Linked DNA regions of Anolis sagrei. The protein of the gene in region 2 binds, or shares a complex with, the protein of the main gene of each other region. Links are inferred from orthologs where the notes say so. Each region holds a gene or a part of one and is shown on either strand. Other genes may lie near its edges.

Evidence for each region.
Region 1: the proteins of TUBGCP3 (region 2) and TUBGCP2 are in contact, whole or in part, in a cryo-EM structure (PDB 8Q62), measured with the Homo sapiens proteins. The link is inferred for Anolis sagrei from reciprocal best matches to the Homo sapiens genes TUBGCP3 and TUBGCP2. Residues at the interface, in NP_006313.1 of Homo sapiens: Glu272, Asn273, Cys274, Ser286, Leu287, Asp289, Thr290, Val292, Arg293, Glu296, Trp299, Ser361, Thr363, Leu364, Arg365, Leu368, Val369, Tyr372, Lys375, Ile376, Lys379, Ala382, Ala383, Asp386, His387, Ala402, Tyr403, Lys405, Thr406, Gly407; in NP_006650.1 of Homo sapiens: Gln172, His173, Pro175, Ile176, Phe177, Pro178, Trp180, Arg184, Ala186, Leu187, Ile188, Gly189, Phe191, Leu222, Tyr223, Val226, Val228, Asp229, Gly230, Arg231, Glu278, Ser281, Phe283, Gln287, His290, Ala291, Ala294, Arg297, Val300, Lys301.

Annotation. Positions count from the first base shown.
Region 1 is NC_090032.1:193,546-209,179, reverse strand, and holds the start of TUBGCP2 (gamma-tubulin complex component 2), read right to left. Parts: upstream 7,630-15,634; 5' UTR 7,494-7,629; coding exon 7,314-7,493; intron 6,179-7,313; coding exon 6,050-6,178; intron 5,507-6,049; coding exon 5,297-5,506; intron 5,094-5,296; coding exon 4,934-5,093; intron 4,820-4,933; coding exon 4,612-4,819; intron 4,492-4,611; coding exon 4,292-4,491; intron 4,161-4,291; coding exon 3,971-4,160; intron 2,690-3,970; coding exon 2,544-2,689; intron 1,572-2,543; coding exon 1,391-1,571; intron 907-1,390; coding exon 726-906; intron 1-725. Other genes in the region: ZNF511 (zinc finger protein 511), read left to right, coding at 7,916-8,005, 9,705-9,835, 11,410-11,611, 11,826-11,950, 12,174-12,359, 14,355-14,433. UniProt on the Homo sapiens protein: Component of the gamma-tubulin ring complex (gTuRC) which mediates microtubule nucleation.
Region 2 is NC_090023.1:109,015,057-109,029,715, reverse strand, and holds the start of TUBGCP3 (gamma-tubulin complex component 3), read right to left. Parts: upstream 6,201-14,659; 5' UTR 5,987-6,200; coding exon 5,911-5,986; intron 1-5,910. UniProt on the Homo sapiens protein: Component of the gamma-tubulin ring complex (gTuRC) which mediates microtubule nucleation.

The DNA.
Region 1 (15,634 bases), on a different chromosome or scaffold from region 2:
TCATAATAATAATAATAATAATAATAATAATAATAATAATAATAATCTTTATTTATACCCCACAACCATCTCCCCAAATGGGACTCTGAGCGGCTTACATGAGGCCCAGCCCAGCAATGCAGTAAAACAATATAACACAATAATAATAATAATAATAATAATAATACTCTTTATTTATACCTCGCCACCATCTCCCCAGGGGGACTCAGGCAGCTTACATGAGGCCAGGCCCAGCAATATAGTAAAACAATATATCACAATAATAGTAATACTACTACTACTACTAACAACAACAACTTTATTTATACCCCGCCACCATCTCCCCAAAGGGGACTCGGGGCAGCTTACATGAGGCCAAGCCCAGCAATACATAAAATATAAACAACAAAAACAACACCACAATAAATAAACCAACCAAGTAAAATAAACAGTGCAAAATAACATAACAGAGAATAAAACACAGTGGGGGGGGGGGGGCAAATGCGCGACATAAAATGATAAAACACTGGACGAGAGAGCCATGAACAGACACATTTGTGGGGAGGGGGCCCATCGGGGAGGGAACAGTGGCGTTAGGTTACGAGTGTTTGTGGGCCTTGTGTTTGGACTGATGGATATTGTACGATTCTGAAGAAGGGATTGACCAGGAGTGGCTGTTCCCAGTGCAGCCCAACCCAAGGCAAGAGGCTAAAGGAGGAGCGGGAAGGGCGCCTGGTCCGGCGTACCTTGAGGTCGTCCTTGAAGGGGTCAGTGTTGGCGGTGCTCATGCGCAGGGCCAGCTCCAGCAGCGCCTCCAGGCGGGTGGGCACGATGTCCTCCACGGGCTTCTTCAGCTCCTCCTCCGTCAGGTCCATGAAGTGGACGTAGAAGTCCCCTTGGTCCATCAGGAAGTAGTGCTTGATGGAGCTGAAGGGAGGGAGAGGAGGGAAGAGAGCCACCTGGAAATAAAGGGGGAGCCGGAAGGGGGCCGGGCCGAGTCGGCAGGGGACAGCCTCCGGGGACCCCGCAAAGGGCCAAGAGGAGGGCCAAGGGGTGCACACACACACACGTCCATGGGGAAAGGCAGGCAGGGGAACCCTCGGGGCTCCTCTCGCCCCTCTTCTTCTTCTTCTGCAGACTAAACAGAACCTCAGACTCAATTTGTGTCTCCAAGGTCTCTCTCCCATATGCCTTGAAGGCGACGATGTGCATGTCTCTGTTCGTGACGGCAAGGAGACAGTTCACCCAACCCTTCCTCCTACTCCTGCCCCCCCCCCCCAGGATGCCCTGGGCCAACAGCCTCTTCCCAAGTATCTCTCCCAACCGGGGCCCCTTTCTGGAGCGGGGCCAAACCCATGGCCTGCCTTTGGAGGGAGGGGCGCTGGAGGGGCGGGTGGGCGGGCGGACGCACCGTAGGTGGGCCACGAGCTCCTTCTCCTCCATGAGGAAGTCCAGGAGGACCTTGCTGGCGTAGCTGTAGGCCTTCTCGATCTGCTCCACGTACTCCCGCTCCTTCAGGGTGTAGATGACCTCCTTGGCCACCGGGCAGCTCACGTTCTGGCCACACTCCCGCACCACGTTCAGGTACTTCCCTGCACAGAAGGGAGGAGGGATCTATTTATTTGCTTATTTATTTACGCTATTTCTGCCCCGCCCATCTCAGCCCGAAGGCGACTTAGGGCGGCAAACAGTCGGCACAATTCGATGCCATATATAAAATACATACAACAATAACAATAAAGCATCCCATTACACTGTATCTAAAAACATCAAAACATTGAACAATAAAAATATTAAAACTACGTCGCCATGTCCAGTCCTCATCTGTCCTGTTGTCTTAGCCGTTCCCGGGTCATTTTCTGTTTCAAATTTGTCTAATTATGCTGAGGCTCAAAAAGCTTGCTCAAAGAGCCACGTTTTCAGGTTAGGAGGGAGGGGGCCGATCTAATATCCCTGGGCAGGGAGTTCCACATTTGAGGGGGCACCACAGAGAAGGCCCTGTCTCTCATCCACGCCAGACGTGCTTGTGAAGCAGGCGGGATCAAGAGCAGGGCCTCCTCGGACGATCTCAAGTCCCTGGTGGGTTCATAGGGAGGGATGTGTTCAGACAGCTAAGCTGGGCTGGAACCGTTTAGGGCTTTGAATTGTACCCGGTGGAGCCAGTGGAGCTGACACAGCAGCGGAGTTGTATGCTCCCTGAGTGCCGCTCCTGTTAGCAACCTGTCTACTGCTAGCTGGACCATTTGGAGCTTTTGAACAGTCTTCAAAGGCAGCCCCATGTAGAGCGTGTTGCTGTAGTCTATGCAGGACGTAACCAGAGCGTGGACTACCGTGGCCAAGTCAGACTTACCAAGATATGGGCACAGCTGGCACACAAGCTTTAACTGTGCAAAAGCTCCCCTGGCCACCACCAAGACCTGGGGTTCCAGGCTCAGCGATGAGTCCCGGCTCACTCCGAAGGAAGGAAGGAAGGAAGGAAGGAAGGAAGGAAGGAAGGAGTGCTGACCCCTGGACTCCCAGGGGAACCCGGAAAGCTGAAACCAAAGCCGGAGGGTGGCCCTGACCTGCACTGAGGATCTTGTCGGCCACCTTCTGCAGGAAGGAGGGGATCTGCTGCGGGACGAGGGTGTAGCGCTGGTCCCAGTACTTGTCGTTGTAATCCTCCTGGATCTTCTCCTTCTGCAGCTCGTGCTCCTCCACCATGAATTCACTGCCGGGGGGGGGGGGGGAGGGACACACACACACGACGACACCGGTGAGCAGGGGGCAGTGGCATTCCGGCCACAACAGGATCCCCTCCTGCCCTCAGACACACAACCAAGAAGCTGGACGGACTGAGCGGAGAAGGGAAGTGAGGACGAATGTGGAATGTATGGATTAGGAGTAAATGCTGAAGTATAAGTGAGGATGAACTGGATGAAGAAGGGTGGTGAGCACGAGTGAGTGAGTGCATGTGAGTGAATGTTACAGCATATGCGCTGCTCCCCCTTTTTTGTCTGTGTAACCACATTTTGTCTATATAAATAAACATGTAATGTCTGTTTGTGGGATTAACACAACTCAAAAACCACTGGACGAATGGACACCAAATTTGGACACAAGACACCTCTCAGGGCAATGAGTGACCACCACTCATTAAAAAATACTGAAAAACAGTGGAAGGGACTTAAAAAGCCGAAAAACAATACAATACATGACAACACATTACAACACATATGCAAAACCAAATATATACACAAACACACATATATACACATATACATAAATATATACACACACATGTATACACTTAAAAGACATATACACAGACTGGGCCACAGAACTCAGAAACCACTGGACGAATGGACACCAAATTTGGGCACAAGACACCTCTCGGGCCAATGAGTGACCATCACTCATAAAAACAATGAAAAACACAACAGGAGGGATTTAAAAAGCCAAAAAACACACAATACATTACAACACATATGCAAAACCACATATATACACAAACACACACATATAAGCATATACACGCACACAAAACACATATACACAGACTGGGCCACAGCAACACATGGCAGGGGACGGCTAGTAATCTAGATAATGTAATGTTGGTTTGTGGGATTAACATAACTCCAAAACCACTGGACGAATGGACCCCAAATTTGGACACAAGACACCTCTCGGGCCAATGAGTGACCATCACTGATAAACACACTGAAAAACACAGTAGAAGGCCAATAAACAATACAATACATTACAAAAAATATGCAAAACCACATATATACACAAACACACACATATATACACAGACTGGGCCACAGCAACATGTGGCAAGGGATGGCTAGTAGCTCTTATAAAACCCAGTGCTGAGTATGTGTGCCTGCTGCTCTCTCTCCCACTGAAGACAGATTAAAGAGCATTGTAAGGTTCAAATACTATTCCTCAGAGTGAGATCTGGGTGCCTGTCCCTCCCCCCTCCCCCCCGCCACGCCCTCCCCTTGCGCACCTGTAGGGATCGTTGATGAGTCCCCTGTAGATCCACTTCTCCAGGATCTCGAAGTAGGGGACGCTGGCGGCCTTGGTGAGGTAGAGGCAGAGCTCCTGGGCCTGGCTGTCCCCCGTGGAGCTGAAGGTCTTGTCGTGGAGCAGGCTCAGCGTGGCGCCCCCCACGCACTCCCCCCGGTCCACGGCCATCGCTGCGGCAACACGAAGGGAGGGTGAGGGAGGGAGGAAGGAAGGCAGGCGAGTGAGGAGACCCTCCCCTCTCCCTCCTCTCAAGGGGGGGGGGTCTGCAAGGGACCCAGGAGGAGAGAGGGGAGCCCCTCACCGATGGAGGCCAGGATCTCCATGGTGCGCATGGTGGGCTGGATGTAGAACCAGAGCTTCTGGAGGGAGAGGAGGCCCTGGCGCTGGAGGTGCTCCAGCTGGGTGACCAGGATCATGTACTCCTTGACCAGGGTCCGCATGGCGGCCGCCAGCGCGTGGTTCACTTGCCCGTACTCAAACGAGGCCTTCTCCTCAACAAACCTATATAAAAAGGGGGGAGCCAAGACACGTATGCCCCATGGGCAACGGCTCAACGAGTCCAACCTTAGGAAGGACTCCCTGCCTCACGGCTTCCCTTCCCCCCAGTGCCAGTGCGCGTACCTGGTCACCCCGGAGTAACTGGCGGCCACAGGGAGGATGCGCCCAACCAGCTCCTTGACGGACATGTCCAGGTTGGGGTCCACCAGGAAGGTCCGCCCCTCTTGGCCCACCAGTGGCTGGGCGGCAATGTACTGCCCGTCCACCCCGATCAGGACGTAGAGCAGGTCCTCCACCAGCGCTGACTCCTGCGCCGCCAGCGGGAGCGTGCCTGGAAGCGGGGGCGGGGGGGGGGCACAGTGGGCCTTGTTATTTGGGAGTCGCGGGTCAGGAAATGGACACCTTGGTAGAGGCCCTCCTTCCCTCCCTCCCTCCAGGAACCCACCGATGGGCACGATCGTGTCCGTGCTGAGGGCGGAGCCCGGGAGGAAGTCCCCGAGGAGGGCGGGGCGCTCGTAGACCCAGTCGGGGAAGGAGGGGAGGGGCTGCCCGGTGTTCTTCCGGCTCTGCTTCTCCCTCAGCTCCTTCCGCACCTGGTGCAGCGGCTGCAGGAGAGACAAGGCGAGTCTGACACGGCTGGAATACATGCCGACTCTGCAAGTGGGGTGCCGTGTGGCTTCCTGGCAGTGTGACCCTGTTCAAGCAGCACTTTCTCCTTTATTCACTTCACCCTGTGCCTGGTGCCTTCAAGGAAGCCCCAAGCAAACAGAGTGTATAATATCCCCCCTGTGGGGGTCTTCCGGCTCACCTTGGGCCGGTGGTGCTGGGGCCCGGAGGCGGCCACGCTGCCCAGCTGCTTGCGGAGCTCCTCCAGCTCCTGGGCCGTCATTTTCGGGGCTGAAGAAGAGGCGGAGGAGGCGGTGGCGGCAGAGGAGGCGATGCCGGGGCCGGCAACGGGAGCCGTGGCCACTGCAAGCTCGGCCCTCTCCTTGGCGTTCTGCTGCAGGAACTGGAGGGTCTGCGAGGGGAGAGAGAAGGGGAGGGTCGGGTCAGGCAGGGTCGCAGGAGGGAGGCTCCCCACGGCAAGCACGTCTCTCGGGAAATTGGGAAGGGGTCAATCCTGGTTACTCTCTATTTGAGAAGCGGGGTTTGAGAGTGCAGAATGAAACACAATACAATAGCTTTGTTGTCATGGTGCTGTTGCACAAAAAAATTAAATGTGTTTCCAAGCACACATCACAAAACAACACGCCCACCCCTCCACACCCCACCCACCACCACTCAGCCCCCAATGCCACATCAACGCGAAGCCATAGAGTTCAATGTAGTCACAGCTCTGCTTGTCCTTGCCTTTGTCACCCTGTGGCCTCAGCCCCATGGTTCTTAACTAGAAGTCATTTGTAAGTCGGGTGTTTGTAACTCTGAGGTTTGTAACTCTGTAGGGTATTGCCTGTCCAACAATAACCCCTCTCCCCGCACCCCACATGGCCACGGAGGCCCCTCCCCTTCTCTCCTTCAGTCTACTGCTGTCACTCACTCACTCGCTCACTCACTCACTCACCGGGGGGTCCCCCGCGAGGCGGGCGAGGAGGCCGAGCAGGGCGTCAAGGTGCCGCACGTTCTTGCCCTTCAGCTCCTCGTACTTCCGCAGGAAGGTCTCTGGGCAGCGGGAGCACTCCGCCAGCTTGGCCTGAGGAAACGGAGAGGGAAGGAGAAACAGGAAAGTGTTGCCCAAGGCTCCCATGGCCGGGATCACTGGGTTGTGTTTCAGGCTATATGTCCAGCAGCATTCTCCCCTGACATTTTGCCTGCATCTATGGCTGAAAGTGAAGCAAGTGGAGTATAGGGAGAGGGAGAGAGAGGTGGGAGGGGCCTGTGGTGGTGGGAGGGGCTGATGGGAGTATCAACATATATATATATATATATATATATATATATATATATATATATGGGGTGGGAGGGGCTTTTTTTTTTGTCGTGTCAGGACCAAGTCGCTCCTGGTGTGAGAGAATTGGCCGTCTGCAAGGACGTTGCCCAGGGGACGTTGCCCGGATGTTTTGATGTTTTATCATCCTTGTGGAAGGCTTCTCTTATGTCCCCGCATGAGGAGCTGGAGCTGATAGAGGGAGCTCATCCGCCTCTCCCCGGATTCGAACCTGGACCTGTTGGTTTAGCCCACTGTGCCACTGGGGACTCCATTAGTGGAGGGGCTGAAGGGAGGGGAGAGGGTTGGGGGAGCATCCACTGATTTATAATTATGGGTATATATGTGGGGTGGTGGGAGGGGTCTGGGGGAGTAGGAGGGGCTGATGGCCGCATCCATTGAGATATATTTATGTATGTGTATGTGTGGGGTAGTGGGAGGGGCTGAAGGGGGCTGTGAAGGGTGGGGCCTGGATGAGTGGGTGGAGCTGAGGGGAGAATCCATGGATTTATGTTTATGTCTATCTATGTAGGGCAGGGGAGGGGCTGAAGGGAGGGGAGGGGAAGGGGTCGGGGGAGCATCCCTTGAGTTATGTTTATGTGTGTGTGTGTGTGTATATATATATATATATAGGGTGGTGGGAGGGCCTTCAGGGAGGGGAGGGGCCTGGGGCCATGGGAGGGGTGAGGGCAGCGCTTCTTTCTCCACATCTGTGGGCCCCTCCCCCCCTCCCTCCCCCTCCCTCCCCCCCAGGGGTTTTGGCCTTCAACTCCCAGGAATCCGAACAGCTGGGGAAGTGGCTGGCTGGGGGTTCTGGGAGTTGTAGGCCAAGACCCCTGGGCGAGTGAGGGCGTCACAGGGCTTCCTCCCCCGCTCCCTCCCTCCCGGCCCGGACCCTGACCTTGGCGGCGGCGGCGTTGGCGGCGGAGGGTGCCGGGGCGTGTCCGTGCTGGGCGCGGCTCTTCTGGAGGAGCTCCACGAAGCCCTCGGCGCCCCCGCACCCGCCCCCGCCGGCCTCGCCCCGCAACAGCAGCAGACGCACAAGCTCGTCCACGTCGCGGTGCAGCCGGAACTCCGCCATGGCCGCCCGCCCGCCCGCCCGGGAGACGGAGACGGTGAGGAGGGGAAGGCCAGGCCCAGCTCCCGCTCGCTCGCCCCTTCCTGCCGTCTCCAGGCAACGAAAACCTGCTTCCTTCCGCTGAGGCCCGTTATGGCTCCTCCCCTTCCGCCTTAGCCGGAAGCCAAGGGGCGGAGCCTCCTTCAGGCCGAACCCTCCTGCGGCCAGCTATGGCGCAGTTTCGCTCCTCCCCTTCCGGCTTAACCGGAAGCCAAGGGGCGGGACCTCCCTCAGGCCAATCCTTCCTGCAGCTCTTTATGGCTCCTCCCCTTCCGGCTTAACCGGAAGCCAAGGGGCGGAGCCTCCCTGAGGGAAAGGGCAGCTGGGATGGAGAGTTAGTCTTCCTCGCTCCGCCTCTTCCGCTTCGGCCAGGAAGCCAAGGCAAAATGGCGGCAGCGGCGGCCAGCTCCGTCTCGGGGCCTTTCCGCTTCCGCCCGGCGCGGCTCCGCTTCCCGGCTCACCACCCCTTCTTCGAGGTGCCCGGATGTTGCGGAGGGAGGGAGGGAGGGGAAAGGAAGCCACGCCCCTTGCCGTGCGGTGCTCCTTCTCTGTCTTCCGGTGGAGGAGCCCGGCCCGGGAGGAAGGTTCCGCCCCGACTTTGAGGCCAAACGCCTTTCCAGATCAGAATGCCAGAGATGGAAGAAGAAGGCCCCTTCTGGGCAGGGAGGCACCACACGATCCCTCCCGGCAGATGCCCATCCAGCCTCGGAATAAATAATAATAATAATAATAGGAACCTTATAATAATAATAGTAATAATAATAATAGGAACCATAATATAATAATAGGAGTTATAATAATAATAATAATAATAATAATAATAATAATAGGAAGCATGATATAATAGTAATAATAAGAACCATAATATAATAAGAAAGCTCCAATTAGTCCAATGGGCGGCAGCCATGATACTAACAGGAGCGGGGCGCAGGGAGCACACAACTCCTCTGCTGCACCAGCTCCACTGGCTGCCGATCTGCTACCGGGCCCAATTCAAAGTGCTGGCTTTGGCCTTTAAAGCCCTAAACGGTTCTGGCCCAACTTATCCGAACGTATCTCAACCTATCAGCCCACCAGGACCCTAAGATCTTCTGGGGAGACCCTGCTCTCTATCCCGGCGGCTTCACAAGTGCGGCTGGCGGGAACGAGAGACAGGGCCTTTTCTGTGGTGGCCCCTCGGCTTTGGAACACCCTCCCCATAGAGGTACAATCAGCTTCTTCGCTGATGATGTTTCGGAAGAGACTGAAGACATGGATGTTTAAACAAGCATTCGGTTAATCCGTTGCAACGAATTTTGATGACTAAGGATTGGTAATCATGGACGACGAATTGGATTGCGATTTCAGTTACGAGATGCGTAGGATTTTTTATTGGTGGCCCAATAATTTGTACTGTAGATGTTGTTTTATGCTTTTAAATTGAATACTGTTTTTAAATGTTGTAAACCGCAATGAGTCGCCGACTTAGGCTGAGATATTAGCGGTATACAAGCGTATAAATAATAATAAGAAGAATAGGAAGCATAATGTGAAAATAATAACAATAATAAGAAACATAATAAAAGTAGCAATAATAATAGGAAGCATAATATAATAATAGTAATAATAATAATAATAGAAAGCATAATATAATAAGAAGAATAGGAAACATAATATGAGAATAATAATAATAATAATAGGAAGCATAATATAATAATTATAATAATAATAATAATATAATAATAATAGGAAGCATAACATAATATATGTTATCTCTTGCTGGATTAACTTTGGTTCGTGTACAAGGATTTTTTCATTTGTTGTGTGCCTTCGAAGTGGATGACTGTCTGTAATATTGATGTTGGAAACCGGCCTGAGTCCCTCGAACAGAGGTGAGAAGACCAGTGTACAAAACTGCTAAATAAATAAATAATATAATAATATTAATAGGAAGCATAATATAATAATAATAACATAATAATAATAATAATAATAGGAAGCATAAAATAATAATAATATAATAACAGGAAGCATAATATAATAATAATAGGAACCATACTATAAGAAGAAGAAGAAGAACCATGGACTGCTAGAAGGCCCCAAAGAAGACCCCTTATTCTGTCATGAAGGGAGGCCCCACAACCCCCTCCTTCCTTCCCTCCTCAGTCCTTGTCTCTCGGGTCTCTCTGGCCGCAGGAAGGCGATGTCCAGCGGCACCTGTCCCTCTGCCAGGCCACGCTGGCCCTCTCTGCAGCCCAAAGCGAGGAGGAGGAGGCCGAAGGTGGAGGAGGAGGAGGAGGAGAAGAGGCCCAGTTGGATGGGAGACGGTGAGTAAAGGGACAGGAGGAAGAGCAGACCCATAACCATTGTGTGTGTGTGTGGAGCCCCCGGTGATGCACCAGGTTAAACTGCTGAACTAGCTGACCAAAAAGTTGGTGGTTCGAATCCAGGGAGCGGGGTGAGCTCCTGCTGTCAGACCCAGCTTCTGCCCACCTAGCAGTTCAAAAACATGCAAATGTGAGTAGTCAGTAGGTAACGGCCTAGTGGGAAGGTAAAATCACTCAATGCTGTAAGTCATGCCCATGGCCACATGACCTTGGAGGTGTCTATGGACAACGCCGGCTTTTTGGCTTAGAAATGGAGATGAGCACCAGAGTCCCAGAGTCAGACACGACTGGACTTAATGTCAGGGGAAACCTCTACCGTTACTATATTATATATTGCATGCAATAATACTAATAATATTGTGGTATAGTGGTATAGTACAGTATAGAAATATATAATACTAATATGTGCAGTCATGCTGGCCACATGAACTTGGAGGTGTCTGCGGACAATGCTGGCTCTTCAGCTTAGAAATGGAGATGAGCAACACCCTTCACAGTCGGACACGACTAGGCTTAATGTCAGGGGAAACCTCTACCTTTACTTTATTATATATTGCATGCAATATTACTAATAATATTGTGGTATAGTGGTATAGTGCAATATATAATACTAATCCATGCAGTCATGCTGGCCACATGAACTTGGAGGTGTCTGCGGACAGTGCTGGCTCTTCAGCTTAGAAATGGAGATGAGCAACACCCTTCACAATCGGACACGACTAGGCTTAATGTCAGGGGAAACCTCTACCTTTACTTTATTATATATTGCATGCAATATTACTAATAATATTGTGGTATAGTGGTATAGTGCAATATATAATACTAATCCATGCAGTCATGCTGGCCACATGAACTTGGAGGTGTCTGCGGACAGTGCTGGCTCTTCAGCTTAGAAATGGAGATGAGCAACACCCTTCACAATCGGACACGACTAGGCTTAATGTCAGGGGAAACCTCTACCTTTACTTTATTATATATTGCATGCAATATTACTAATAATATTGTGGTATAGTGGTATAGTGCAATATATAATACTAATCCATGCAGTCATGCTGGCCACATGAACTTGGAGGTGTCTGCGGACAGTGCTGGCTCTTCAGCTTAGAAATGGAGATGAGCAACACCCTTCACAATCGGACACGACTAGGCTTAACGTCAGGGGAAACCTCTACCTTTACTATATTATATATTGCATGCAATATTACTAATAATATTGTGGTATAGTGGTATAGTACAGTATAGAAATATATAAGACTAATCCGTGCAGTCATGCTGGCCACATGACCTTGGAGGTGTCTGCGGACAGTGCTGGCTCTTGGGCTGAGAAATGGAGATGAACTCCAGAGTCCCAGAGTCACACACAACCAGAATGTCAGGGGAAAACCTTTACCTTTACTATATATACACAGGCTACCCCCAAGTTACAAACATCCGACTTACAAACAAAGTCTCTCCTTCCTTCCTTCCTTCCTTCCTTCCTTCCTTCCTTCCTTCCTTCCTTCCTTCCTTCCTAGGGCGGAGGTGCGTTGCCACTTCCAGGGCTGCGGGGAGGCCTTTGCCTCTTTGGAGGCCTTTGAGCACCACTACGACCTGCTCCACCGGGACGTCTGCTCCGCCTGCCGCCGGGCCTTCCCGTCTCGGCGCCTGCTGGACCTCCACCTCCTGGAGCAGCACGGGGCGGCCCTCTTCCAGCTCCAGGCCCAGCAGCGCAGCATGGTAGGAGCCCCGGGGTCAGGCAAAGTCATCACACAAGCCTGGGGCTGGTGGTCGGAGGATGCTTGGCTGCCTGTGCCTCTGCTCAGAGGGTTTTCCTTCCCTTCCTGTCCCTGTGATCATTGTATTTTGAGGGAATGGGGAAACCAGGACTCCTTTTGCAGCCAGGAGACTGACCACTGACCCTCCCTTTTCTCTCTTTCTCTCTCTCTCCCAGTTCCAGTGTTTGGTGGAGGGCTGCCCAGAGGCCTTCAGGAGCCCAGAGGACCGCAAGGAGCACCTGGTCACCACCCACTGCTACCCCCCAGACTTCCGCTTTGACAAGACCCCCAAACATGGAAGGTACTTGCCCACGGAGGGAGGGAGGGAGGCCCAATGGTTTCATCCCATTCACATAGCATTGTGCTGCTCTTCCATTGAGGCCTTGTGAGAAAGGTCTGGGGGTGAGGAAGAGAAGGCAAGAGGGGGGAGGGCCCGCCTGCCAGGGACAATTTTCCTGGGCCACTCCTGCCTTTCAAAGGGCGGCCACCATGTCGCTTTGGCCTCAACCCTCCTCTTCCGGCAGCAGAGCGAAGGCAAGGAAGCCCCAATCCGGGAAGGACGGCACTGCGCCCATGGAGGTGGCGGACCAAAAGGAAGGGGTGGTGGAGGAGGGGGCGATGCCCGTGGCGGATGCCATGGAAGAGGAGCCCAGGGGGTCCCTCCAGACCCAGAGGCAGGCGACACCTAGGGAGCGGCCCTTGAGATCCCGGTGAGTGGCTTCATCCTTTTCTGGGAGCCATTGTGGCAGATGGAAGGGGGCAATGGAAGTGGGGAGGGGGGGGGAATTGCCCCTTGCTTAACCCTTCAGTGGACGTGTGTGACCACATGTCTGTTAGAACTGTATTTCCACACAGTAATGCACAATGGAGTTACAGACCGGGGGTTGAGAAGGGCAGGGTATCAATATCTGAAATAATAAATAAATACTGTATATACTCGAATATAAGCCTGAATTTCCAGCCCTTTTTTGGGCTGATAAAGCTCCCCTCGGCATATCCTCAAGTCAAGGTTATTTATTATTTTACTCTATTATTATTATTATTATTATTATTATTATTATTATTATCCCACTCCCATAGCATTGTGCTGCTCTTCCATTGAGGCCTTGAGAGAAAGGTCTGGGGGTGAGGAAGAGAAGGCAAGAGGGGGTTATTATTACTATTATTACATTTATTACTTTACTCTATTATTGTTATTATTATTACATTTATAGGTTAACTTTATTATTTTTATTTTATTTTTATTACATTTTTGCCAATTGTTCTGGAATTTCTAAGAAATAAATACAGACGACTTTACATTAAATTAAATGTAAAATTACAAGAAACATAAAGGATAGAAGGGATTATAAGAAAACAACAAAAAAGAAAGAAAAAAATTCAGACATGTAATTAAAAACTTGGTAAACAGAACCTGGAAACAACTTGCAGGGAAAACTCTCTCTAAGTTGAGAAAGGGGGGGGGGGGGCTTTCTTTTCTTTTCTTTCTTTTTGTATTCTTTCATTACTTACATTACTTTTCTTTCTTCTATCAAGTTTCAAACTTTCTTTCATCTTCAGTTGTTCCACCACTTTCATTGTATGTTTTTTTGCAAACATCAGTTTTACTTTATGCAAAATTTCTTAATAAAAAGCATAAATTAAAAAAAAATGTCTGAAAGAAACACAGCTGAGGGCAACGGAGCAGCAAACAAGGCTCTGCATTGAGGAGGGAAATAGAGGCCGGCTCTGCATCCCTGCTGGAAGTAGATGGGGGGGGGGGGGTCCCCCAAGTGACCCCTCCTTCCTCTCTTACCAAGGGCCAGGGGAGTGGGATACATGCCTTTCTGGCGCGGGATCTGCTCACTTTCCAAGCAGGATTCTCTCCTTTCCAGGTTTGCTTGGGTGAGAAGCGGTCACCGGGGAGGGGGGCACTTGGGGCCGAGCCTTATTATTTATTTATTTCCTTACTTACTTTGCTTCTATACGGCTGTATCTCAAGCCCGAAGGCGACTCACAGCGGTTCACAAACAGTAAAAACAGTAGAAACAGCAGTGGTTCCATACAACATATAACAATTGACTTAACACATTATCCATAAATTACCAATAAGCCATTACAATGCACAATTATTACAAGAAACAACCGTACCCAACCTTCTCATCATCCAAGCGTAGTCCAGGTTCGCCGTCCATTGTTCCATTCCTATGTTCCATTCCCAGATTGCACTAAATTACTCAAACGCCTGCACAAACATCCAGCTCTTCACCTTTTTGTGGAATACCATTAGAGATGGTGCTAGTCTAATGTCCGTAGGAAGGGTGTTCCACAGCCGAGGAGCCACCACAGAGAAGGCCCTGTCTCTTGTCCCCGCCAGCCGTGCTTGTGAAGCAGGCGGGATCGAGAGCAGGGTCTCCCCGGAAGATCTCAAAGTCCTGGTGGGTTCATAGGCAGAGATGCGGTCAGATAGGTAGCTTGGGCCGGAACCGTTTAGGGCTTTAAAGGCCAACGCCAGCACTTTGAATTCAGCCCGGTAGCAGATCGGTAGCCAGTGGAGTTGGCGCAACAGGGGGGTTGTATGCTCCCTGCGCTCCGCTCCTGTTAAAATCATGGCTGCCGAGCGTTGGACTAGTTGGAGCTTCTGAGCTGTCTTCAAAGGCAACCCCACGTAGACCAGACCCCTCTCTCTCCTTGACCAGACCCCTCTCTCTCCTCTTGCTTTCCAGGGTCCCAGCCAGTATTTCCTTTGGGCAGGGAGCCCCCCGGGCCTTTGAGGGCAGGAGCAGCAGGAGGAAGAGGCCCTGAGCAGGAGGGCAGCCTGCCGGACAGTGCTCTCCCCCCCTCCCCTACTTTGGCCTTGGACGCGGTCAGGAGTGGCCCCCCTCCATCGGAGGGCAAGGGCCCGTCTCCTCAGGGATGTCCAGCAATAAAGCAGCATCCAGCCCATACAGTGGTGTTTCCAATCTATTCTGCACACCTGGAAGGAAACCCAGGACGCCAAAAAGGTATAAAGTCCTTATTTCCAACTGAATGTAAATGATAATAAATGTTATGTAAATAAAACTGACACGTGCACAGGATGCATGTGTTTACACTGCTGGCAAGACACTCTCGTCTGTTTATTGTTCAATCAAAATCTGCCCTCCTGAAACTAGATTTCTCTGCCTTTTTACTCTCTCAACTGAAGCTTTCTCTCCAGTCTTTGTTTCCACAACAAACCAAATCCAATTCTCACAGGGACAAAAACTTTGGGAATGTTTGTATTTGGGTCCAATATTTTTGGGCTTCTGCAAGACCACAATATGATAAAAATATCCCAGTATCGTGCTCGCATTTACAATTATTGTCGTTATGTATCTTAGAGTCTGCCTGGTATCAAATACCACTCTTTTTTCCAGTGTGAATTCTATGATGTTTATGTAGAGCTGAACTATGAGAGAATAATAATAATAATAATAATAATAATAATCCTTTATTTGTACCCCGCATCTACCATCTCCCGCAGGACTCGGTGCGGCTTACAAGAGGCCGAGCCCAAAGTACATCATCAACAAAAACACAACAGACAACAATACAATGCAACAATACATAAGCAAACAATAAAACAGTAACAAAGCACGACACTGTTAAAAACCTGTGGCAGGGCCAAATGTAATAGTTAAAATTCTAAAAATGCTGGGCATGTCCAGGTGAGGTAGGATGGATATTTGGGGAGTAGAAGGGTGTGCAGACAATTCTAACTCTCTCGTAAAGTGCATTAGGGACAATTGCTTGGGATTCCTTAATCTGGGAAGGCACACTGGAACATCCATGTTTTCAAGCTCCTTCTGAAGACTGCCAGTGTTGGGGAATGCCTGATGTCCTTGGGGAGTGAGTTCCAGAGTCGAGGGGCCACCACCGAGAAGGCCCTCTCCCTCGTCCCTACCAATCGTGCTTGCGATGCTGGTGGGATCGTGAGCAGGGCCTCTCCAGATGAACGAAGGGATCATGTGGGTTCGTATACGGA
Region 2 (14,659 bases):
AGGTATACTTCACACAAATTTGGTGTCCAGTCATCAGGATTAAAACTGCCTTACATTCCTCTCATATTGCATTCTGCTCTTATCACCCTTGCATCTTATCCTTTCTTTGAGACACCCTATAAAATAAGCTAAGTTGAAACACAATGTGACAGCTTGCTTCAAATAATGACTGTTGAGCCTGGGGAAAACTTTTGTCTTTAAACTTACAAGAAAAGCCCTTACAATCTCCTCTTTCTTCAACACACAAAATAGAAGGTATCTCAAAAATGTACACAGTGAACCTTTGGGGTTTCATTCCAGGCACCGCAATGGATATAAAAATCTCAAATCCCCTTCTATACAAAATAAAATTATGTCCCTTATTGTCAAAGGCTTTCATGGTCAGAATCACTGGGTTGTTGTAGGTTTTTCAAGCTGTATGGCCATGTTCTAGAAGCATTCTCTTCTGAAGTTTTTCCTAATTCTGTGGCAAGCATCCTCAGAGGTTGTGAGATCTGAGGACATTTGCACAGATGCAGGCGAAACGTCAAGAGAGAATGCTTCTAGAACACGGCAATACAGCCCGAAAAACCTACAACAACCCTGTGACGTCCCTTACATAAAGCTACAAAAGTCAAGGTTTGACTTTTGGCTTTAACTTTTTAAAAATATATATTGTCAAACCACTGGTGGTTAATTCTATGGGCACAAAATCCATAGATATGGAGGGGTGATTGTGCACCTTTTAACAGTTAAAAATAGCTAGAAGGATTGTTGGAAGGCTAAATATATGGATTCATATTGAAGAATAAATGTTACTATAATGATTCAACCTAAAAATATAATTTTATGTAGGGTGTTCAAATTGTTTTCCCCATGTAGCAATAAACTCCTTCCATGGTCAAACAATGAGCACAAAGTTCACTTAAAGTTTCTCTTGAAATTTTGCAACACTTCTCTATTATTGGAATCCCATTAAAGGTATATACATGGAGGAGAGGATATTGCAAATGGATATATATTCAGCATTATATGCTGTTAAAGGGGCACCTTATATTTCTACAGGCATCACTGTTGACAGAATAGAAAGCTGGGATGAAGTGCTGTACATTGGGGGGGGGGGGGCACCCTCTTTTCCTAGGGATATCACTCTTGACAGGATGGAGAGATAGGAAGGAGAGCTGGGACTGGAAGCTGTACAGGGCATTTCAAAATAATGGACCGAATTTCAAGGCAGTATATTTCATGATGGAAATATTTTACAATAACACAAAAAGTTACAAAAAGTTTAATGAATTATCAAGTTTTACTAACCATTTTGAATAAGAACCCAATAAAAAACAACTCTGCAAATAGAGAATACCTCATTAGACCTTTCGTTTCTGGGTACCCATTTTGAAAATGACTGAGGCTAGGGGCTGTTTGTGCGCATCTAGTAGTAATCCTTGGGAACTCTAAGCCTTGCCCTTTCAAGAGGAAACATTTTCATTCATGGGTGGTTTATAGTTGCAGAGTTATAATAATTTCAAATTGGGCTCATCTTTTTGAAACACTCTGTACTTTCTTGGGAGACACCCTGTTTTCCTGCAGCATCACTTGTGATGGGATGGAGAACTGCACAATTTATTTATTGGGGGGATACCTTATATTCTGAAGGGTATCAAACTTGAAAGCTGGGACAGTGATTGTACTTTTTTAGTGGACACCCTATATTCCTGCAGGAATTACTTTTGATAGGACAGAGAGTTGTTCCTTTTGGAGGAACAACATGCATTCCTAGGGATAGCGCTCTTTGCAGAAAAGAGCTGGGAGAGAGTTGTCTACTGGGGCAGCTGTATACCTGCAGCCATTACTCTTGACAGAATGGAGAGTGTACATTTGGGGGGGGGGGCATTCTGTATTATTGCAGAAATTACTTTTAGATGGGATGGAGAGCTGTGTATTTGCGGGGGGGGGGGGCTCTATATTCCTATAGGAATAACTGGGCAGGATGAAGAGATATGTATTGGGGTAGACTGTAATCCCGGGGATATCATTCTTGACATGGCGATGAGCTGGGGTGGAGAGCTGCACCTTTTTGGGGAATACGCTGTATTCCTGCAGGACATGCTTCTGATGGGATGGAGAAATGTATATTTGAGGGGTGGGGCACACTTTGTGTCCCTTGGGATATCACATTTGACAGGATAGATAGCTGGGATGGAGAACTGTCCATTTGGGGGAGGGGGGCTATACATCTCACCACACTAAAACAGTGGATGTGACTCTAAATGAGACATGCCGCATTAACACAGAGTGTCTGCGCTCTACACCACTGGAGAAATTACACTGCTTAGCCGGTATTGCACCACCTGACATCCACCGGGAAGTTGCAGCCAATAGTGAAAGGCCCAAGGCAGAGACATCTCCAGCTCATCCATTGTTTGGGTATCAGCCAGCACGTCAACGACTTAAATCAAGAAATCGTTTTCTTAGATCGACAGAGACACTCGCTGGAACACCTCAGCAAGCGAGAGTTCAAAAGTGGCAGGCTCAAACCCAGCACCTCAATCCATGGGTGATACCAGATGAGAGACTCTCCCCTGGGCACACAGAAGACTGGGTGACTTGGAAGGCACTGAACAGACTGCGCTCTGGCACCATGAGATGCAGAGCCAATCTTAAGAAATGGGGCTTAAAATACTTAAAAGCATATGATATAAGAGAAAATTGGTGGAAAATCTTTTTTAGATGGTATCTGACACCTTGTAAATTAAACAAATATTACAAAAACCTAAATTCAAGATGTTGGAAATGCGGAACAGTAGAAGGGACGCTGTACCATATGTGGTGGCAGTGTAAGAAAACAAAAAACTACTGGAAAGAAATACAAATTATATTACAGAAAATTTTGAAAATTAAGATACCCCTGAAACCGGAAATATTCTTATTAGGCATTACAAAAATTAAGATAGATAAAAATACAGATAAACTGCTATTTCTTGTGACAACAGCGGCCAGGATCTGTCTGGCAAAAGTCTGGAGGAAAAAAGGAAATACCTAAGATCGAGGATTGGAAAAGGAAAATGATGGATGTCAGAAATATGGACAGTCTAAGTTACATAATTCAAAGGAGTAAAGGAGTTGAAGAGACAAGAACAGATTGGACAAAATTTAAAGAATACCTGAAACTATGCAATTAATAGCAAATATAGAAAGACAGGCAGAAAGGCCTGGATACAGAAGAGTAATTACATAATAAGATTCCCAGTCAATTAGAATTGGAAAAACGAGACGAAGAAAGGAAAATGAAAGAAAGAAGAGGAGGAGGCCTCCCCCCTCACGAATCCTGGAAGTCGTATCGAAGGAAGAAAGAACTTTTTTCTTGAATCTTTTCTTTTAACTTTTCACTTTTTCTGTTTCTCACTTAAACTATTTTCTTTCCTCCCCTCCTATCCCTACCACGACACTTAGATACCCAGGATATCCCCTCCCTCCCCCTACGCTCCCTGGAAGGTTATCTTCCTTCCAACCGTTACCTATCCCTTTTCTATTCCTTTTCTACTTCCTCCTATATTTTCATACATCTTTATCTGATTAACTATGCTATCTATACTACTCTATTTTAATGTTTGTATTTCTAGAAAACTTCAATAAAGATTATATTTTTTTAAAAAAGAAATGGGGCTACAAAATGGAATCCTCGACATGCGAGTGTGGAGAAGAGCAAACCACTGACCACCTGCTGCAATGCAACCTGAGCCCTGCCACATGCACGATGGAGGACCTTCTTGCGGCAACACCAGAGGCACTCTAAGTGGTCAGATACTGGTCAAAGGACATTTAATCAGCTACCAAGTTTGCAAAATGTGTGGGTTTTTATCTGTTTGTTTGTTTTGTTCTGTTAGAAATGTAATACAATGTTCTGGTTGCGGATGACACGACAAATAAATAAATAAATAAATGGGATTAACTCTTGCTAGAATGAAGGGAGGGGAGCTGTACTACCAGGGATATCATTCTTGGTATGGTGAAGAGCTGGGGTGGAGAGCTGTACTTTTTTGGGGAAATACCCTGTAGACCTGCAGGACATGCTCCTGATGGGAGAGATGTACATTTGGAAGGGAAAGTCCTTGTATTCCTTGGGATATCACTCTTGACAGGATAGAGAGCTGGGATGGAGAATCGGCGTTCCTTTTTGATGGGATGGAAGGAGTTATGTAGAGAGGGCACTCTATATCCCTATTATATAGAGGGACAGGGCCTTCTCGGTGGTGGCCCCTCGGCTGTGGAATGCCCTACCTGTAGACATCAGACAGGCCCCTTTGCTGTTGGCGTTCCGGAGGAAGGTTAAGACTTGGCTTTGCGAACAAGCGTTTGGCTAAACAGTGCAACTGAATACAGGAAGATGGTACAATCGAACATAGGAAAATGGTACAAAGGATTATGAGAACGGATTCTGATTTGCTATTGAGGCGTTATGATAATGATTGTTTTTTGATTTTGTCTGTTATGTATAATGTGTTTTATTGCCCATGATACTGTTGTGATAACCTTTATTATGTAAACCGCTCTGAGTCGCCTAACGGGCTGAGAAAAGCGGTATAGAAATAAAGCAAATAAATAAATAAATAAATATTATGGGTGCTGTATTCCTGAAGCCACTGCTCTTGACAGAATGAAAAGTTTTCCATTTGGGTGGGGGGAGCTTCCTGAATTCCTGCAGGACATGCTCCTGATGAGATGGAGAGATGTACATTTGGGAGGACAAGTCCTAGTATTCCTAGGGATATCACTCTTGACAGGATAGGGAGCCGGGATGTAGAATGGTCTATTTGGGGGAAAGGAGGGGGCTGCATTCCTGCAGGCATTCCTTTTTGATGGGATGGAGAGCTGTGTAGAGAGGGCACTCTATATCCCTATTAAAGGTGCTCTATTCCTGCAACCATCACTCTTGATGAAATGGAGAGTTGTCCATTGGGGGAGAGGCATCCTTAATTCCTGCAGGATATGCTCCTGATGGGGTGGAGAGATGTACATTTGGGAGGACAAGTCCTAGTATTCCTAGGAATATCACTCTTGACAGGATAGGGAGCTGGGATGGAGGATGGTCCATTTGGGGGAAAGGAGGGGGCTCTATTCCTGCAAGCATTCCTTTCTGATGGGATGGAGAGCTATGTATAGAGGGCACTCTATTTCCCTATTAAGGGTGCTGTATTCCTGCAGCCATCACTCTTGACGAAATGGAGAGTAGTCCATTGGGGGGGGGGGGGGATCTTCCTGAATTCATGCAGGACATGCTCCTGATGGGATGGAGAGATTTACATTTAGGAGGACAAGTCCTAGCATTCCTAGGGATATCACTCTTGACAGGATAGGGAGCTGGGATGGAGAATGGTCCATTTGGGGGAGAGGAGGGGGCTCTATTCCTGCAGGCATTCCTTTTTGATGGGATGGAGAGCTGTGTAGAGAGGGCACTCTACTTCCCTATTAAGGGTGCTGTATTCCTGCAGCCATCACTCTTGGCGGAATGGAGAGTTGTCAATTTGGGGGGATTGGAGGACTTCCTGACTTCCTGCAGGCCATGCTCCTGATGGGATGGAGAGATGCACCTTGGGGTTGGGGTCAGCTTGTATTCCTGGGCCTGTCACTCACTCTTGAGAGCTGAGGTGGGAAGTCGCCCATGTGGAAGGCGGGGGAGACACCCTGTGTTGGGACGGAAAGCGGTGTATTTTGTGGGGACTGCCTAGCTAGAGGATGGAGAGCTGCCCACTTTGGGCGAGACTTCTGACGGGATGGAGAGATGTGCATGTGAGCAGGGGGGCGAGCACACACCCCATGCCTCCCCTCTTTCTGCGCGGGAAGAGGCGGGAAGGCCGGCCAGACCTCGGGCCTGGGAAGAGGAGGAGGAGGAGAAGGGGAGGGAGAGGCGGGGAGGCCGAGCGCGGTTACCTTCGCCTTTGCCGAGGATGCGGCAGCACAGGTTCTGGAGGAGGACGTTGGGCGACTTCTGGTCGGGGCTGGCCATCCCGGCCTCGGCGCCCCCGCTCACGGGCCCTCCCCGCTCCCGAGGCCCTCTCCCCGCCACGCTCAGCCCCTCACTTAGGGCGCCATTTTAGTGGAATCCGCCGAAAGATAGCGGGGTGAGGGGGGGGGGGAGACACAGGGGGAACGGCAACGGTTTTCAAACGCGGGCCCCCAGAATGCCCCGCAGCCCGGACGGTGTCACACCGAACACCGTCCGTGGCGCAACACTGGAGCTGCGGCGGAGAGGTTCCGGGGTACACACACACACTCATAGGCACAGCGGGAAGCGGCGTTTCCCTCTCTCTCTCCCGCGTCTCTCTCAACAAGAGGACATCCACCGAGCCAGAGGTCTTCCACGGAAAAAAGCCAAGGAGGATTCCTTCTCGGTCATCGCGTAGCCGCTCCGTTGCGCCACTAGACCAGGCGTGACGCCATCGCGGTTTAAATTCCAGGCGCGGGAACCGTGAGGTGAAGGCGGGAACCTTGGGGCCCTTCCACACAGGCCTCAATCCCAGAATATCAAGGCAAAAAATCCCACTTTTTCTGCTTTGAACTGGGATATAGGGCAGTGTGGACTCAGCTAAACCAGTTCAAAGCAGGTATTGTGGGATTTTCTGCCTTGATGTAGACCTGTGTGGAAGGGCCCTTCTACACTGCCCTTATATCCCAGGATGTGATCCCAGGGTATCTGCTTTGGACTTGATTATATGAGGTCTTTTCAACACAGCTGTATAACATCCACATTGAACTAGATTATCTGGCAGTGTGGACTCAGATAACCCAGTTCAAATCAGATATGGTGGATTTTTTGCCTTGATATTGGCAGTGTGGAAGGGCCCTAAGGCCCCTTCCACATAGCTGAATAAAATTCCACATTATCTGCTTTGAACTGGTATATGTGGCAGTGTGGACTCAGATAACCCGGTTCAAAGCTAATATTGTGAGATTTTCTGCCTTGATCTTCTGGGTTATATGGCTGTGTGGAAGGACCCTGAGTCTCCACTGCCATTTAATCTGCAATAAACAGATAATCTGTTGGCCCTTTCACACAGCTACAGGGTGAGGCAGCATAACTTCCTTTTTTCAAAACTTAATAAAACCCATTGTATGAATCAGAATTTTTTTATATATATATATTGTAGGCGCATACCTAAAGTTTTGTTTTACGTAGTTTTGAAGATCAAATTAGGTAGGTGACGTCCCCCATTCTCCATACACTGAGTAAATCGATTTCTGGCATTTGTCATGACTCTTGCCAGCATAGCAGGCGTTATGTTGGCAATTTCTTCCTGGATGTTGGTCTTCAAATCTTGTAGGGTCCTTGGACGGTTCACATAAACACGGGATTTCAAAAAAAAAAACCCATAGAAAAAAATCACAAGGGGCCAAATCTGGAGAGCGGGCCGGCCACTCCAAATCCACTCGAAAAGTAGGCCTCAACGGCAAAAGCACACTCCTCACTGTTCCAATGCATGATGGCTGCTGAACTGTGTCAGGACAAAACTTTATACTCCCGCCTCTCGAACGAGACCACTAGCGCTCCGCTACATCTTCAACCAACTAAATGGCGCGCATTTTAAAAAAGGAAATTATGTGCCTCACCCTGTATATAAAATCCCACATTATTTGCTTTGAACTGGAATATATGGCCGTGCGGATTCAGATAACCCAGTTCAAAGCAGATACTGTGGATGATCTGCCTTGATATTCTAGGTTATATGGCTGATTGTTGTGGTTTTAAGCCATGGGAAAGTTTTCATGCAGTTTTACACAACTTGAACTGCTATAGCTCAAGCTAAGAAGTCATAGGAGTTGTCGTTTCACAGTGTGCCTCACCAGACCCAAGACCGAGCCCTTGCATAGAGCCCTGGCAGTTCAAATGCTGTCAAATTGCATTGATTCTACAGTGTCAGAAACCCAACTGGAATTTCTTGTGGATTGTACTCAACTAGGCTGGATCTACACTGCCCTATATCTCAGGATCTGATCCCAGATTATCTGCTTTGGACTGGATTATATGAGTCTACACTTCCAAATAATCTGAGATCTGATCCTGGAATATAGGGAAGTGTAGATCTAGCCACAGATGAATCTTACAGCCTGTGCAGTCAATATCAGTTCTTCCAGCCATTGATTAGCATTATTGCACTTAATTCTTTATTGGGAGCCTTTCCTCTGTTAGGCATAGTTTGTTTCTTTAATGATTAACAGTATTCTAGAGTCTTTTACCAATATCTAGAGTCTTTTACCAATATGACCAAATAAAATTCAACTACATATTGGATGAAGTAGAAATCAGTGGGCCCTTGTTATCCATTGAGGTCTGGCTCCAGGATTCTCCAAGATTTCTGAAAAATGATGTCAAGTGTTTCTATGACCATAAGACCCCTCCTACACTGTCATATAAAATCCAGATTATCAGCTTTGAACTGGATTATATGGCAGTATAGACTTAGATAATCCAGTTCAAAGCAGACAATGTGGGTTATCAGCTTTGATAATCTGGATTATATGACAGTGTAGAAGGGGCCTATCAAGCAGGGGATAGAAAGAGAGAGGTGGGCAGGCAGAGAAGCCAATGGGGGAAGGGCTTTTCCCTGCCAGGCAACTCATCTGAATGTTATCCAAGTCCTTAATGAGGACTGCAAACTTGTGGTTCAGTTCCAAAATCTACCTAGTGTTTCCTTAACCTTGGTGAAAACTAGCATTCCTGGATTCCAAGACTTCTGTGAAAACCCATATTCAAGGTTTCACTTACCCACATGCAGGGAATGTGCTTGGTCCTCCAGATGATCCTATGGCATCCTTTTCCCAGATATTACTACAGAGTCACTCAGGTGGACCTAGAAAATTCCTAAAATGTGCCTTTGTAGGAATATCTAGGGGGTCTTCCACACTGCCCTATATCCCAGAATATCAAGGCAGAAAATCCCACATTATCTGGGTGTGGACTCAGATAACCCAGTTCAATGCATACATTGTGGGATTTTTCCTTTATATTCTGGGATATAGGGCTGTATGGAAGAGCCCTAGTCTAAAACTGGAAGTCAGGTAATGTAATAGTGTTGAGTCATGCCTGTGGTTTTTGGTAACTGTGGTCTGGCCAGAAATGTATGCCACATGGATAAAGTTAGACCTACTGTTCTCTTCTTATATAGGCCTTTTATCAGCATCTGTTGCTCAAATCAATAATTAAAGACAACATTTGGATAGTGTTTCTGTTTAAACACTGCCAAATATATCTTTAAGCATTCAAAAGTGTGGGTGCTAGCAAAGAAGAACTGAAAATGGGATTTTTCTAATATTGGACCTTCATGGGAAATAGTTCTAATAAACTAACATAGTGCCTTGAAAATATAAGGTGTTTGAAGGATTTTGAGAAAACATGTTGCACCTTAAAACAGAGATGGAAACATTGTCCTGGAAAGAGATGAATCAGTTGCCCTTGTCAGCACTGCCAGGTTTGAAAGAGTCCAGGAAACAAGTGGGTCTTTTCTATTGCCCCCAGACTAATTGTATTATGAATATGTTATTATAAAATTTTATAAAATTATAAAAAATATAAAATTAATGCATCAATATTTTAATTGGATTGACTACAAATGCTTTTGTTATCACATAGTGTTTTAACTATTTTTTACTTATATTATAAGCCACTCTGAGCTCCATTTTGGATTCTAAGTGAAATATAAATAAAATAAAATTGAGCCCCCAAATCCAGCACTAATGTAATCACTGCCAAAACATATAAATGAGTTATTGACGATGCATCACGTGGCCTTCATTTGTGGAGCATTTGGGAAACTTGTAATGAGAAAAAAGCTAATGAGTATAGAAATTATAGCAATTTCTTTAGAATTCTCATAGCAATCTTCGTGGAGCTGCAATTCAATTAAAGAAATGGAAGAACAAAGAAGAGTGGATATGTGAATGCTTGCAAAGAACACTGACTGTACATGATGAGTGAAAGCACTGCTAAGTGTTTATGGGAAGAGTCTTCGGATTAGCTATATAAAGAGTAGAAACAGAGGTCAATAGCCATAGAGTATCAGAGGCCAGCATGTGCCATAGAATGAATGGAATGAATTATTCTGTATCTAGAGTAGAATTTCTTATATTTTTATGAATGAGATTCAAGGAAGAAAGGGTATACCTGTTACTGTCCCAGTTGCCAAATCTGCTCCCTGACATATTATTTTCTCCCCAGTATTTTTATCTACTCTCCAGGGGGTCTGATGCTTTCAAGCAATATATAAGAAATCTCAGTGTACAAGAAGGAGATGCATTGGTAGCGTCAATACATTCTTAAATAAAAGTGAGAAAAGCAGTCGAGATAAAAGATTCACTAGGAGGAAGGTGAGATGCTGTTACCTTGCTAGGTAAACTTCCTTAGGCCCCTTCTACACTGCCATATATAATACAGATTATCTGCTTTAAACTGGATTATATGGCAGTGTAGACTCATATAATCCTGTTCAAAGCAGATGGTGTGGAATAACTGATTTCATAATCTGGATTATATGGCAGTGTAGAAGGAGCCTTAATGGAAGTAACTCAGCTCATGAATAACTAGTCCATGACTACCCTAAAAGCTTGTATAGTGTAATGTATATGTTGGACAATATATGAAGCCACTTTTCCACAGCATTCATTCAATCAAGGATAGTGGCTACTTACTGGGATGATCCCTCCTGCTATCATAACTCTCCATCATGCAACTCCAACAATTCAGCAATCTGTGGTCCCATGGCCATACTTCCAGTTAATAGTATAACTCCACTTTTTTTGCAGTTCCACTGCTCCATAATTAAAAATAATATTTTTGCAAAAACAACTTCACAATTCCTGTGTAAGTTTGTAAAAATAAGTTACATTTTAAACTATGAATTACTGCAAGGTGGAGTGAGGAGAGTGGGAGAGCAGAGCCTCAAGCGAATTGGATTTATTGCATGTGATAAATGATGGGACCATGATATGATCAGTGGTTGTTGACGGGATAGGTTAGTCACCAAAAAACCGACCCTTTAAGAAGGGTCAGTTTTTGTAATCCTTTTAATCTCAGTATATGTTTTAACTGTCACATACCTCCTTGTCCATCAGTGATGTCCTTTTGAATTTTATTAATATGTTTATGTGGTTTTATGATTTAATTATTGTGTGATTTAAGTTTGATTTGGTTGTATGTTTATTATTACTATAGTGTGTTTTTTTCTGTTGTAAACCATCCTGAGTCCTTTTGGGGAGTGGGGGTGGGATATAAATAAAGTTTATTGTTTTTGTTGTTGTTTTTGTTGTTATTGTTGTTACTGTTATCACAGAGAGGTGAGAGGTGACAGTCCAGTAATGGCTGTGTGCAGAGTTGTACAATAGATCACTAGAGATGACAGTCATGCCTCAATGTCAGTTTGCCAGTTTCACACAATAAAGTCCTCTGAAACTGGGAGACAAGGCTTTGAATACCCACTCAACCATGGAGGGATTTCTCAATCAAAGAGGCAATTGCAAGTCTGAATAAACTTTGCAAAGAAAATCCTGTGATAGGGTCTCCGTAAGTCAGATTCCACTTGAAGACACAAAACACCAAACAATAAAGATAGACTCCAGACTAAGTATTGATTTATATGCTTTATACAAGGATTGTAATTGTAGCTCTCCAGATGATTCTGACCTATGACTCCTGTGTGTCTAGCAGTATAGCTAATGGGGGAGAATCATAAAAGTTATAGTACAAAACATCTTGGCACAGTAGTGGGCTAAACCTTTTTGGAGGTAGGAACTATGTTCTCTGTTATGACAAAACAAAGGAGACTGAAAATGGAATATCTAAATAATTTCACTGTGATACCTCACTGCTGTAATCATTGTGATATTAAGCTCAATAGAGACCGCACATGAGAGCTAGGCCCCTTCTACACTGCCATATATAATCCAGATTATCTGCTTTGAACTGGATAATATTGCAGTATACACTCATATAAACCAAAGCAGATAATGTAGATTATATGGCAATGTAGAAGGAGCGGTAGTCTTTCTTTCAAATACTGCTGGATTACAATTCCCAGCAAACCAAGACAGCATAATCAATGTAACGAATGTGGAGAACTACAATCAAATGACATCTGCAAGACTTGCCTTATTCTCAGCCCTGTACTAAAATGTGGTGAATATTGTGGAGCCAGGGTTCATAAAGCTGAAGACCCAGAATGCTTTGAATAGCAAGGTTGACATAATCTGTTGACATTGCCCATTGGCTCCAATTCACTCTGAGTTTAGCTGCTATCCCATAGTAGTTGGAGCAAAAATACCATATTTTAGCAATTCAAAGACACAATTGATTCTAAGGGTGCTTCCAGGTGGTGTCAAAATGCGGGACAAATAAGGGGCAAAAATTGTAGGACCTGAGAGCAAGTCCAAACAGACCTGTCAGAAATGGTTTCCTGCCATCCTGACACCTTCCTTTGTAGCGGATTTTATAAATTCGCAAGATGGACAGGACATCCAGCGGAAGATTTCTTTCTTTTTAATTGACTCTCTGCGATGCACTGGACCTCATATGTGCTCATGTGGATATCTAAATGTACACACAAGCAGATTTCTTATTATCTCTCCTCACCTTACTGTAAATTCAAGCTCTGTTTAATTTCATAAAGATCAGAACAAATGAATATTTGCAGAGAGTTCTTGTGGGAATTGGTTTCCATTTGAGCTTCATTTTAGCCACCTATGTGCTTGGGGCTCCTTTGTTTACAGTCCAGATCAACTGTTTCAGGATTTTAAAATGTGCACATGTGCTGAAGCAGTCCACACCAGGGTATAGAAACGAAATCACGTATTTTCCTTGAGTACAGGAGTGTTCAGTCTTACGAATATACACATTTTTCATTGAAATCAGGTTTAAAGTGAACCTTTAAAACATTTTTTCAACTTGTTATCCGGATCTGCACCCATTTTCGGGAAATGTCATTTAGCAGCCACCCCTCTTTTATCCTGGTTTCTTCATGTTTTAGGATATGTGTAGAAGGGCCCTAAAATGCACACTAATTTCAGCACCACCAACCGAAAAAAAAAAATCTAAGACATCCAATTTATCCAAATGTTTATATGGGAAAAATGCATCTTAGAATCAATGAACTATAATACTTATCAATCTATTCTAATCCAAAATATTTGGGCAACAGTTTGTTATTTGAGTAGACAAAATCCATTAAATTTACCCCCCCCCCCCAAAAAAAAAAGGCAGCTGGTAGGCATGCACATATTCTTACTATGGGAGCTGTAATAATAAGTACCTAAACCTCAACATTTACTCTTATGTCCTAGGGAGAGATTTTAGGTAGCAAAGAGTTTTCTTCCTTCTGGGCTATCGGTCAATGCAAAGTAGTTCTTCAATACAGAAATGTATGTAGCTGCTTCAGAGTTCACTTCAACAAGCAAGAGACCAGAGCCGTATTCATCCCACATTACCATAATTTGAGGGCCCTTCCATACAGCCCTATATCCCAGAATATCAAGACGGAAAATCCCAGAATATTTGCTTTGAACTGGGTTATCTAAGTCCACACTCAGATAATGTGGGATTTTCTGCCTTGATATTCTGGGATATAGAGTTGTGTGGAAGGGCCCTAAGAGAAAGAAAAAAGACTTGTCATTTGGCCCCACCATATCCTTATGACTTGCAGCTCTAAGAACATAGGGGCTGCATGTCTATGACAATACAGTTGTGCTCATATAGGAGAGGTTCTGCTCATCTGCACAGTTTTGACTCAGAATATCAAGACTAACTCATTTGGGAAGCCAATAGAATTGACTCCCCAATGCATTGAGGGTTGTGGGGGTAGGCAATAAAACTGCAGATCATATAGGGGCACTATCTGACTCTCCCTCTGTGAGATCCTAGGCTATGATGTTGAGCTATAGGTATTTCGTTTGAGAATCATGTCACATGAGTCATAAGTCATTTACAGTCACTCTCTTTCTCTGCTCTCTGTATAAGTATAGTGGTGATGAAATTGCAGGGCATTTAAGAGCAAGCTAATCTATGATAGCTCATTGTGGAAAGCAGAAGTACCTATAGGGAAGAAAGGGGATGCATGTGGCAGTGTGTATTCTATGAGGCATTTGCCACCAAAATAAGGAGTGTATGCTTGAGTCATAAATAATTACAGCTTTCCATTGGCATGGAGGCAGAGTAAGGCAGATCTCACTGTTCATCCTGGCAAAGTATTCCAGGAGATGAGAATGGGCTAAACATTTGCTTTCCTGTAAGAATATGTCCACCCAAATGGAAGAAGTGAGTATGAGTATTTTCACATCAATTTTCATTTCTGCATTTTCCAGGCTTCTAAAAAGTAGTTGGTTTGTATCTAGAAGAGCTGTATCTTCTCTATTCTCATGAACTGTTCAGTAAAAGCTTTTGCCTTTTCTCACCTTTTGGATCCAGCAGACATGCATAGACACTTTTAGTCTTGGGAACTTTATCTGAAATCTTGTGGGCATTGTTTATGCTAGTTTATTTGTGCTACAAAAACCTGTAGCTTCAATTAGCCATCAATGAAATCCTTTTTTACATATCAGTGGCTCGCACCAGACTTCGTATCAAATAAATCTCCTTGAGGGGCCTAAATTGTGTTTAGACCCAAGGGAAAACACTGCCAGGCCATACTCAAGATCAGAT